Linked DNA regions of Rattus norvegicus. The protein of the gene in region 2 purifies or fractionates together with the protein of the main gene of each other region. This does not show direct contact. Links are inferred from orthologs where the notes say so. Each region holds a gene or a part of one and is shown on either strand. Other genes may lie near its edges.

Region 1 (4,387 bases), on a different chromosome or scaffold from region 2:
ACAGTGAGGGCCCGGTACTGCTGGCTTCCACGGCTGGTGAGAGGGGCAAAGCCAGGCATAAAGAAGTGGAGACGCGGGAAGGGCACCATGTTGACAGCCAGCTTCCGAAGGTCGGCGTTCAGCTGGCCCGGGAAACGGAGGCAGGTGGTGACACCGCTCATGGTGGCAGAGACGAGATGGTTCAGGTCTCCGTAGGTTGGCGTGGTGAGCTTAAGGGTACGGAAGCAGATGTCGTAGAGGGCCTCGTTGTCAATGCAGTAGGTCTCATCTGTGTTCTCTACCAACTGGTGGACGGACAGGGTGGCGTTGTAGGGCTCAACCACGGTGTCAGACACTTTGGGTGAGGGCACCACGCTAAAGGTGTTCATGATGCGGTCGGGGTATTCTTCTCGAATCTTGCTGATGAGCAGGGTGCCCATGCCAGAGCCCGTGCCTCCACCCAGCGAATGGGTCAGCTGAAAGCCTTGCAGGCAGTCACAGCTCTCCGCCTCCTTCCGCACCACATCCAAGACAGAGTCAACCAGCTCAGCTCCCTCTGTGTAGTGACCCTTAGCCCAGTTGTTGCCTGCCCCAGACTGACCTGGAATGTAATAAGGGGGAAAAATTTAAAAAGCCTAATCACATATGAGAGAAACACAATACTTCTTAATCTTTCAACGTTTGAAATAATCCCACTGGGGGACACATGGGAATCCGTTCCACATAACTCACCAAAAACAAAGTTGTCCGGTCTGAAGATCTGGCCAAAAGGACCTGAGCGAACGGAGTCCATAGTCCCGGGTTCTAGATCCACTAAGATAGCTCGAGGGACATACTTGCCACCTACAAGTATTCAAGATGTTCGATCAGCGATGAAATAGCTCAAATTTGGGGTGGAGAAATCAGCCACATATCACTAAAGTTGTCATTCCAGGCACTACCACCTGGTGGCAGTAGAGCCAACCTTCAGCCCCATAAGGTGTGTGTGTAAGGGGGGAAAAATGGGAGTCTCACAGAGGGGTAACTGATACCCAAGTGTGGGAAAACAGGGTGGTGATGCTGCCTTTAAACCCAACACTTGGAAGGTAGACCGATCTATGTGAGTTCCAGGGCGGCCAGTGATGAATGGGGTCCCTGTCTCAATAGGGGGGCACGCAGAAGAATCGGGATTTCTTCCCTCACCTGTAGCTTCATTGTAGTACACAGAGATTCGGTCCAGCTGCAAGTCGCTGTCTCCGTGGTAGGTGCCGGTGGGGTCGATGCCGTGTTCATCGCTTATCACCTCCCAGAACTGCATAAGGAAGAGAGCAGTGAGGCCTCAATGGCTCAAGTCCTAAGGGATGCCGCCCGCCCCTCATTTCGATTCCAGACATGCTCAAACGAAGCTGTGGTGCAGACACTGCAATTCCGTTATCTGCTTGCGGAACCCTCTACCGAGGAGCCTACGCCCCGGAAGGTTACAACCTTAGTGGATAGGACGGATGACTGGCGATTCAAAGGGCCGGGGACTGTAAGCATCTACATGGGCGGATTGGCGCCCACCTTCTTGGCTCAGCACCTAGGTTTGGTTCCTGAAGCCAGGCACCGCCCTTCCTGGCCAGCACAAAAGAGGGTTGGGGGAGAAAGGTGCGGCCACTGCAGTCGCCCACCCCTTACGCGCTCCACGTGACTGCGGTGGCGGGCCGCTCCTCCAGCAAACCACAAAGGCGGGAGCAGTGCGGGCGGGGCCTAGCTCGAGGGGCGGGGCCAGTGCGCCCCCGCGGGCCCGGGCCGCATTGTCCCTGCGCGCCAGGGGCTCCAGCCCCGCCCCCAAGAGGGTCCCACCCTTCGGCTGCAATGTAGCGGCCGCACTTCCTCCCTCCCCCTCCCCCGCTACAGGGCAATTGCCCGCAAACGGGGGGAAAATTTTTAAAAACCCCATGGCCTCCGATCTTTATTCCCTTCCTTCTTTCTCTCTCCTTAATCTCCCCGACAGTCTCTCACATACTTGAAAAGCTCACACTTTCTGTCCGCTCACACCCTAAGACCTCTTTTAAGGGCAATGAAAAGTAAAAGTAGTGCCCTACATAGAATCATAATCTAAAAAAAGCCTTGGGAAGGCGGGTTCTATGGAGTATCCAAGCCTTTGTTGAGGTAATGCGCACCGGGGCATCTCTGCAGCTGCCCGCCAAACCTCGCCCCTTCCCCCTCCATTCTGTTCCAGTAGGGCCCTCCAGGCGGGGTGGGGGTGGCGCAAGGGGAAAACCTCGCCTCGGCTTTGTCTCGGATCGTTTCCGCATCCCTCCTGTCCTCGGACCGTTAGAAAACCCCTTTTAATACCAGTTCTTTAGAGTCCCCCAGCCTCTCCTTTTCCCCGAACTCAAAAGCGTCTCTTAATAGCTTTCCGAAGATGTGCCAAGAAAAACATTTTCTCAATATTAGAACGCTAGCTACAAATATGGGTTATATTTATACGTACAAAACTTTGAGGGGCCAAATCTGACGAGCGGAGAATGCAAACGCCCCGTTAGCATTGCTCACGATTAACACAGATATCTCATCCTTACATATTTCATCTAAAATTATAAAATTCTTACCTTAGCACCGATCTGGTTGCCACACTGTCCGGCCTGGATGTGCACGATTTCCCTCATGGCTACGGTTTACTGTAATAATCTTTTTTTGATGGTCCCAATGTAGGTACCGAGCAAAAGAAGATAATTAAGGATTTTTGGTTTTTTTCTTCTGGGCTGGTCTCAGACTGATAGGATGGAACGTAGCCCCGGAGGCTGCTGCAGAGAGATGCGAGCACGACCGCAGGAAGGTTCTAAGAGGCAGAAGAGGCCGGCGAGCGCAGGAGGGAAGGCGCGCAGGGCGGGGCGCGCGTTCGCGCGGCCGGGGGCGGGAGATGGGCGGGCGCCTCGGGTTGCAGACAAAGCCTACCCAACCAGTCGCTGATTAGACCAGCGGATCACGTGCCAGACGGCCATTGGTCTCTGAGCCAGTGGCGAGCGCAGTCCTTTTTGGGAGTTGTAGTTCTCTATTGTCCACGCTGCAAAAAGAAGTTAAAGATGGGTGGGTACTGTGGGAGGATTAGGGGGTATCGCGTGTGTGTGTGTGTGTGTGTGTGTGTGTGTGTGTGTGTGTGTGTGTGTGTGTGTGTGTGTGTGTGTGTGTGTGTGTGTGTGATTTTATTTTATTTTTCATGAAAAATGACCTCTCGATTCCTAGCCTCTATTCCTGAGAGAGGATTTTGTACGAAAAGAGGTTTGGGGAAATATAGTAATTAGATGAGATCTGAGGTGCCTGAGTTGGAAGGTGGGTTGGGCACGCCCTGCCAGCTGCCCACCGCAGAAGGTCTGGGAAGGCCAGACTGCACAGCTCAGCGGAAAATCCTGAGAACTGTGTGCTCCTTCCCTGATACACAGTGTCTAGTTCTTTGTGATCCCAAGACAGGAATGAAAGAATTGCCCTTCTGTTTCCATGGGAGGTGTCTCAGGGGTTTTCAAAAGAGAAACAAAATTGCAAGGATCATGGAGAATCTGCATGGAGCTGATGTCCCAAAAGAATGGAGGTGTGTGTAAAATCTCTGGGAGATTCGGGCCTTTAGACACTGAAGACATCCTGGTCATCTTGTCAGTATAGACTGGAGTGGACAGACTAAGAGAATGCTAGTCTTTATATAGTGCCTCCATCTCAGACACTTGCAAGGGCTTTTGTTTGTTTCTTTTTGTTTTGTTTTGTTTTGTTGGTTTTTTTGTTGTGTTTTGTTTTCCAGTTAGTTGATTTTATTCATTAGGTGAGTCTGTGGCAATGTCCTGGAACTGAGAGGGAAGATGGGAATTGAATGGGCCCAAGTCAGAGCTCGTAAGCTTTTCTTTCCAGGGTTTTGAAAAATACTAAGTATCCTCAAACCTTTAAGGAGATACAAAATGATTCATTAGAATAAGAGCAGGAGTGGTTCACACGGTTAATCCCAGAATCCTGACTAGAAGGCAAGAGAAGTTCAAGGTCAGCTTGGGCTACCTAGAGACTACCTGGACAACCTGAGGCACAGCTTTAGGTTTAATCTCTAAGTGAACAAATAGAAAGGAAAAATTAGATTGTGCCTGCCCTACCTCCCAAACAATAGAGAGGTGGAGGCAGAAAGATACTTGCACTTTGGAGGCTAACCTGATCGACAAAACAAGAGCCTGTCTTGGACACAAAACATATTTGGGGCCAGAGAGATGGCTCAGCAATTAAGAGCATTTATTGTTCTCAGAACAGGTTCAATTCCCATCGCCCACATAGAAACTCTCCACCATCCATAACTCCAGGTCCAGGGGACTCAACATCCTCTTCTGTACTCTGCAGGTTTGTGGTACACAAAAATACATCCAAGCAAGCCACTAATACACATAAATAAATGCCTCTTTTAAAAAAGAGA
Region 2 (4,404 bases):
GACTGGTCTACAGAGTCCCAGACCAAGGATATATAGTAAGAGACCCTAACTCACCAAAAAGAAACCAACCAAGCAAAAAATGCTTTTCAAGGTTTGAGAAGCATGAATATTAACTGAAACAGAGGTCTAACAAAGGAAAAAGCAAATGAAGGGGAAAAACTATTTCTTCAACAAATTAATGAAATCCAGACATAGTATGGTCCATGCCTGTTATCTCAGTAATTGGCAAAAGGCTCCAAGCCAGCCTAAACTGCATAGCAAGACTGTTTCAAGAATAGTAGTGATGATAAATGGATGTCTACAAAGCATTCTTCTAGGGGCGAGATGAGACAGCAAAATCAAACAAAAAAAGCAGTGCCACAAGAAATACCTTACCCTCACTTATTTAAAAAAGGGTCTTGCTATATATAGTTCTGCCTGCTATGTAAAACCAAGATGACCTTGAACTTGCAGTGATCCTCCGGTCTCTATTAGAACCACAGACATGCACCACCACACTCAGCAATGTTGTTACATCTCTAACCATTACTTTAGAGTAATGGGAGTTTCCTTAGCTCTTGTCTCCTTCAAAAGTTATGTCACTTTGGCCACAATGCTGTTGATTCCAAAAATAAATGTGTGTAAACCCACCAAATTTTCTACTGCCTCTTATCTATGAAAATATCTTGTCCAAGAGGCTGCTCATCTTCTTGCTTGATTTACAGGAGTACCTCAAGTGATCACTTTGTATTTTATTCTCAAAAGTGCCTTTCAGGAGAACCTCCAATCTACATACCTGTCCAGACCCTGGCCCTTAAAGTCCTGTAATTCTCCAAAATCCTGTGGAGATTAGAGTCAGTAACTCCAAAAGAGCTGAGGAGCAACTACAGCTCTGTATGTTCTCCTCCCATCATCTGCATGACTCAGGTTCTTTCCAGAACTCAAGGACCACAAAAGGAACTTGGAAATTCAGGTAAGAATCAGCAAGATGACCTAAAGATACAAACTGCCCACGATGCCAGATTTTAGGAATTCTAATTTTAAAACAAACAAACAAACAAAAATCTAGATTTAAGTGGAACATACTGTGACATTCCTATTATCCCATTTTATGGGAGGTAGTGACAGCAAGACAGGAGTTCAAACACAAGGCTGAGTTTGAAGTCAATTTGGCCTACATTATTCCCTGATCTCAAAAAAGAAAAAACAAACCACAGGGCAGTGGAGGCTCACACCTTTGGTCCCAACACTTGAGAGACAGAGGCAGAAAGACTTCCCTGAGTTTAAGGACAGGCTGGTCTACAGAGTGAGTTCCAGGACAGCCAGGGGTTACACAGAGAAACCCTGTCTCAAAAAACAAACAAACAAACAAAAAAAATTTAACTTAAAAAAAAAAAAAACAACAATTGAAATACTGACAGTATTTTAAAAGTCTATTTTGTTGTTTTTTGAGACAGGGCCTGAATGCGTAGACTCCCAGAGTAGCTAGTCTAGTAACGTGCTCCTCTGCCTTTCTTTCAAGTGCTGAGATTAAAGGTGTACAAAATACCACCCACCCTAGCTATTTAAAATATTAATAGTTCTTTTAACCAAATAACTGAGTGAATACTTCATCCGAAGGAAATGAAACCTAAACCACTCGAAACAGCGGGATCTTATAGTTCCCTACACTTGCTATTTGGTTTTGCTTTGTTTTTGTATGGGAAGCTCTAGTTTCTAACTAAATGGGCTGAGACGGCTAAATTTTATTTGATGCTTTCTGAAAGATGAAGGTGGGGCCATAATGTCCAGAGAGTCAGCATAGATGCTTGGGGAGAGAGATGTATTTCTTTTGAAGAGATAAGCCAACTCTAACCTGCAAGTTCTCCAAGCCAAGAACAAACAAAACAAAACAAGAAAAACAACCGAATTCTAACTTCAGCACCTCAAAATAAAAGAAAAACACCTCCTTTCTAGCCACTTCCGATCATAGCAAAAACAAAGATAAATACACAAAGCAAAACAACAATAACAACAACAACAATAAAACTAGGTAAAACTTCCGGGTGTTTACAACAGGCCTAACAAGGTGAAAAACTGCCATTTGAGAAAGGCATGACCTGCCCTCTCTCTACATGTGGTTCAAAACATGCCAACTTCGGGCAACACCGTCCCAGATCCACCAAGACCAGCCTGGGCTTCCCCCAGGTCTTCCGGCCCAGCCTTCCCTTGAGTCTTGGGGCTCCTGAGGCCTTCACGTGGCCCAAAGTCCACGCCCACTGGGCCCAGTCCGGGCCTCAGGCTCGCAGTGTTTTCTCTTCTCAGGCTCGGGGTCTTCTGTATATGGTCGGCGAAATGGCCGACCGGCGTCCTAGCGCCAAAGGGCTCCATGCGGGGAGTGTGGACCCTAAGGCCTAACTAGGCCGGGGCCGGCGTGCCGAGGGAGGTACTCAGGCCGCCGGGGCCTGCATGACACAGCACCATCTTGTCCAGGCTCCGACCCAGGCCCAGCGCGGGCCCGACCTAGGGGGCGCGCGGGTGCACAGCCCGGCCCGAGGCCCTCACTCGCCCCTTGCCTCTCCTTCCGTCTCTCTCTCTCTCCCGGCCTAGACTTTCAGACGCGGCCCGACCGGGCCTACCCAGCACGGCAGGTCCCACGGTGCGCGCCCCCGCAGCCGGCGGGCGGGCACGCGCATACACTTACTCGGCTCCAGAGGCCATGGCGCGCGCCTCTCCCGGTCGGCGGCTGTGGCGGCCTGAGGGTAACGGCTACGAGAATGGTAGGCGACCGACTAGGCCCGGGCTTGACTCACTCAGGTGGAGGAGCAACAGCAGTGACAAACCCACAGGCAGCCTCCCTCTCGCTTCCTCCCAGCGGCACCGGGGCGGCAGGCGGGCGGGAGACGCTAGCTCCTAATCCGCGAGAGGCGACTAATCAAACGACGGCTGCAAACGCTTCACGGAGACTGAACCGAGAAAAGCCGAATCATCGGAAGGAAAGCTGCTCTAACCTCAACCAATCAGCGACTGCCTTAGGACTCGTGCCCGCCTCTCCGTGCCTCTCCCCAGCAACCCACAGACGATAACCAATCAGAAAATTCGTTTGTGGCCTAGCCCCGCCTCAAGGCTGCAACACGCCTAGTAACGCCACGTCAATTGGCCGTAGCACTACGCTTCCTCGACGCATAGGGAGTCTTGACCAATCGACAAAAGCAATAGGCCAGATCCTCTGGTAAAAGGAGAGTCTTTATCCCTCCGAAGGAGGTTTCCTCTACTTGGCTCCAATTGATTGGCTCCTTAGTTTATAAGCAGCTGGGAGAACCTCGCACAAAGGCTTGAACCCTTATTAGTTTAGCTGAGTTGTAATAATAATCCACATAGTTCATTTCTCGCCAATCCTAGGGATCCTCTTACTCCACCATACTAAAATCCTTCGTGCTCCTTTAAAACACTGGCTCCAACGAAGGGCGTGGTGGATGGGCTAGGTCTGTATTTTTAGCAATTGGGAAGCTGAGGCAGGAGGACTATTAGATGGAGATCAACCCAGGATACAAGACCTTTTCTGAAAAACAAAACCATGTCGGCGTAATGGCACATAGCTATAATTCTAGTCTCAAACAGTATCTCAATAAATTTTAAAAGCAGTGTGGTAGTACATGCATTTAATGTCAGCACTTCGGAGGCAGGCGGCTCTCTGTGAGTTTTAAGTCAGCCTGGCCTATAAAAAAGAGTTCCAGCCAGCCAAATGATACTCAAAACTAAGTAAATAAAATTTTAAAACAAGCAAAAACAAGTGGGTATGGTGGTGTACACCCTAGATCTCAGTACTCCAGAGGCTAAAGGCAGGAGATTGACAGTTTGAAGCCAGCTAATGCTGCATAGCTGGACTCTGGTCTACAAAAAAGAACGGAAGGAAGGAAGGAAGGGAGGAAGGAAGGGAGGGAGGAAGGAAGGAAGGAAGGAAGGAAGGAAGGAAGGAAGGAAGGAAGGAAGGAAGGGAGGGAGGGAGGGAAGGAAGGAAGGAAGAAAGGGAGGAAGGGAGGGAAGTAAGGAAGAAAGAAAAAAAGAAAATGGAGACTCCTAGCTCCACCCCACCCCCTCCTCTCTGAACCCTAGAGTTCTGAATCAGCACCCCAGCTCTTAATCCACTCGATTGCCATTGCACTCTCTTCTAATGATGCAGGCTTTGTGATTCCTCAGGGTTTGGGAGTCTGTACTCCTTAACACAGAGTATAAATATTATCTGGAGAGGGAGCGCACTGAGGTTCAAGAAAGTCAAGGACAACTGCAGAACACATAGCAAACGTAGTAGTGCCCAAGAGCAAGAAAGATCAACCATGTGCTGTGATTTAAGGTCCCTGTGCCCCAAAAGACAATTAACTGGCTTTCATTATAGTCAAAAGACTGTTGGCTCTGGGTGGCATCCTGACTCAATTCACCCTTCAC
Region 3 (3,450 bases), on a different chromosome or scaffold from region 2:
TTTCATGTATCCCAGGCTGGCCTCACTTTGGCCACGTAGCCCAGGATAACCTCGAACTCCTTTCTGATCCTCCACTTCTGGAATGTGCCACCGTACCCGGTTTATTTGATGTAGAGGATCAAATGGTGCTTCATGCACACCATAGGACACTCTATTGAGCCACACCCCAAGCTCCTATTATGTTTGTTTGTCTGGTTGGTTTTGAAGACAGCATGTATGTGGCCCAGTCACTCTAAGAACTCTGTAGCCCAGGCTGGCTTCCAATTCACAATGCTTCTGCATTAACTTCTGGGTATTGGAATTACAGGCATATACCACCATTCCTAGTCTGGTAAATTTAATCTCCAGGTTACTCCCCCCACCCCACCCCACCCCCTGCCTCTTCCTAGGGGAATATTAGGCTGGACGGAGGAAGGGGCTGAGCCTAGAGCAAACACTTAGCAAAGACCCCAAAGGGTGCTCCAATTAGAAACACTCATCCCTAGCCCACCATAACAACTCTGGATTCTGAGAGGGTGGTGAGCAGTAGTTTCCAACTTTTATTTGAGAAAAACAGAAAGTACATGTATCAAAAGAGCATTCAGATTGACAGAGAGGGAGGGCTGGTGACGGCTACTGGGGATGGGTAGCAAGCTGAAGGCTTCTACTTGGCTCCAGACTGTTCCGACTCTGGGCCTCCAATTTGGGCACGGGCCTCGAAAGTGACCGGAATGGTGATCTCCGCTGATTGTGTGACTGCTTTGGGCAGCGGAGCCTCCACGGTGAGTGTGCCCTCAGGGGACAGGGAAGAGGACACCAGGGTGGGGTCCACACCTGGAGGGAGCCTAGAGGAGCAGAAACAAAGGACAAGGGTTACACATCCCTCCTGACCCCGCCCTCCGCCCAGGGTCCGCTCCCCCACCCCCCAGCTCTCCATGCAAGGAACCAGAACTCACGTGTATTTCCGGGTGAAGCACCGAGAGATGTAGCCATGTTCATCCTGCCTTTCTTCGTGCTTGCCTGTGGGTGGGGACAGAAGGAGGTCAGAGGCAGCCCTCTGCAGTCCTAGCTAAGGAATGGCTGGGGCCCCAAGGAGGCAAACAAATTAAGAGTGTGGTGGGATGCCTGACTGTCTGGGATCTTAAAACTTTCCAGAAAGTTCGCTTCTGAGATTTGGGATGCAAAGGTCCCGGACCTGGGCTTGGCTCTGACCCAGGCTTGGATGCCAGCGTAGGCATACTCGAAGCTGTGCGCACGCCCCCACCGCGGCTGGGTCTAGGGACCCTGACTGGAGTCCTGCCACTTGCTTATTTGGGGATGAGGTCTTCCAGAAGGTGCCTTGGGTCTTCCTTCATTTTGTTTCTGTGCTGCGGGTGGTCAAGGCCTCAAGGCCTCCGGGCTTGCCAGGCAAGACTCTGCCCTGAGCTACACCCCCAGCTGTTGGTCCTTATCATCGAAGATGACAGAGCTTTTAGGAGCAAACCTGCACCCCGCGTTCCGGGGCAAGAGAAGCAGGCTAGGGAGAATGACGCGGGTCTCCGGGTCCCTGAGCTCATTTCTAACTTTTCAGGGTCCTGTCCCTCATGGTTTCAGCACCCACCCCCACCCCCCACCTCCACTGCCACCACGTTACTCGCTCGCCCCACCAGCTTCGTCCCCTCTTGGGATAAGGGAAACTCACCAGTGATCTCCACCACGCCTTCCTTGGTCTTAACTGTGAGCTCCTCAGGAGCGAAGTGGTTGACGTCCAGGGACACGCGCCAGCGATCGGCCGTCTGTCGGATCTCTGAGACACCGCTGCTGAGTTGCCGGTTGAGCGCCCGGCTGAAGGCGGGCGCGGCCAGGGTCACTGCTGCGGGGCCCTCGGCGGTCGCGGCGGGCAGAGGGCGCACATAGCCGGGCCAACCAGCGGAGCTGAACCACTGAGACCACTCATCGGGAAACCGAGGCACCCCGAAAGCTTGATCGAAGAGGCGGCTGTGGGCAGGGTACCAGTCCCGGAACGGCTCCCAGCTGGGGCTCCGCAGTAGCGAGAAGGGCACGCGGCGCTCGGTCATGGTCTTGGCTGAGCTGGTCAGGGCTGAGGATCTAGAAGCACTGGGCTGAGGATCCGAGAAGTGCCGAGCTGGAGCCCCAACTGTGCTTTTATGGGTGTCCAGCCGGGTATTTTTAGCAGGCGGTGCTTCAGGTCTCTATTAATGGCAATGACCGTCTAAGGGGCCGTCCCTCGCCGCCCCTCCCCTCTGCATTCCTCCCCCTAAGCTTACGAAGGGGGCGGGCAGGCAGGGCCAGGAAGGTTCTGCCCCCATCTGGAAACTTCTCTAGTTGAAGAAAACAAATGACTGTAATACCGGTAGCTGGAGCAGTTCCCACTGTCGCTTAGAACGCTGCAGTCTGAAGGGCGGTGGCCTGGGGCCAGTCCCATCGTTTGTGGAGAATAAACCAGGAGGGGTACGGTCTTTTGTGTCGCAATTAGGAAGCAACTGAACCTGGTCTGAGCCAGAAGGAGGCCTGTGGGGACACACTTGTCAGGGCACACCTGTGGAGGTCTCTGGATGACCAGCCAGACTAGCTGTCTTCTACCATGTGTCTCTTTGGGGACCAAAGGCTTGGTGGCAGGCGCCTTCGTCCACTAAATATCTTACTGACCCTGAGACTTCTTTTTCTCTTCCTTCCCTCCTTCCTTTCTCTCTTTCTTTGAGACAGGGTTTTTCTTTTTTGTTTTAATGCTTTTTTAAACATTATTTTTTGTGTATCAGCGTTTTGCCTGCTTGTACGTCTGTGTGAGAGTGTCAGATCTTGGAGCTACAGAGAGTGTCAGATCTCGGAGTGCCCTGCGGGTGCTAGAATTTGAACCTGGGTACTAGGAAGAGCAGTCAGTCCCCCTAATCGCTGAGCCATCTCTCGGGAGACATCAAGCCTGGTGCCTGCAAACTGGATGGGCAGTGAACCCCCTAGCATCCTCCTGTTTCTGCAACTGCCCCACCCCTCCAGCCTAGCGCTAGGATTAGGATCTTTTTTCAAAACAGGATTTTTCTGTGTAGTCCTGGTTGTCTTAGAACTCATTAGACTAGGCTGGCCTGGATCTCACAGATCGGCCTGCCGTTTCCTCTGGGAGAGTTGGGATTAAAGGCTAGAGGCATCACATGGTAGCCACCTCCAGCTTTTATATGGATTGCTTTGTGGTCCATACAAAAGAAACTAGGGTTAAAGGTCACCTGTGATGTCTATTAGCATACCAATGAGCACTGGCCTCTGGGCTCACTGGGCAACTGAAATACTACTCTTAGCTCTTCTCAGCCCTTCTCACCCTGCCCCTTACTCATAAACGTCTCCAGTTCTTGGGGCTCCCCTCCCCCAGCTTCTCACGACTGTATGTGCTCTCTTGGTCCTCTCTCCCTCATCCCCCTCTCTTGGTCTTTTTTGCCCCATCTCTCTTTGCTGGCATCTGTCCCTCTCCCAATCTCTCTT

The links.
Region 1: the proteins of Vcp (region 2) and Tubb5 purify together in Homo sapiens (affinity purification with mass spectrometry; 4 studies listed by BioGRID, with this or other methods). This does not show direct contact. The link is inferred for Rattus norvegicus from reciprocal best matches to the Homo sapiens genes VCP and TUBB.
Region 3: the proteins of Vcp (region 2) and Hspb1 purify together in Homo sapiens (affinity purification with mass spectrometry; 3 studies listed by BioGRID and IntAct, with this or other methods). This does not show direct contact. The link is inferred for Rattus norvegicus from reciprocal best matches to the Homo sapiens genes VCP and HSPB1.

Annotation. Positions count from the first base shown.
Region 1 is NC_086038.1:2,915,998-2,920,384, reverse strand, and holds the start of Tubb5 (tubulin beta-5 chain), read right to left. Parts: upstream 2,809-4,387; 5' UTR 2,613-2,808; coding exon 2,556-2,612; intron 1,271-2,555; coding exon 1,162-1,270; intron 823-1,161; coding exon 712-822; intron 581-711; coding exon 1-580. UniProt on the Homo sapiens protein: Tubulin is the major constituent of microtubules, a cylinder consisting of laterally associated linear protofilaments composed of alpha- and beta-tubulin heterodimers.
Region 2 is NC_086023.1:62,022,498-62,026,901, forward strand, and holds the start of Vcp (transitional endoplasmic reticulum ATPase), read right to left. Parts: upstream 2,891-4,404; 5' UTR 2,680-2,890; coding exon 2,663-2,679; intron 1-2,662. UniProt on the Homo sapiens protein: Necessary for the fragmentation of Golgi stacks during mitosis and for their reassembly after mitosis. Involved in the formation of the transitional endoplasmic reticulum (tER).
Region 3 is NC_086030.1:26,430,132-26,433,581, forward strand, and holds Hspb1 (heat shock protein beta-1), read right to left. Parts: upstream 2,171-3,450; 5' UTR 2,037-2,170; coding exon 1,661-2,036; intron 1,000-1,660; coding exon 936-999; intron 825-935; coding exon 644-824; 3' UTR 509-643; downstream 1-508. UniProt on the Homo sapiens protein: Small heat shock protein which functions as a molecular chaperone probably maintaining denatured proteins in a folding-competent state. Plays a role in stress resistance and actin organization.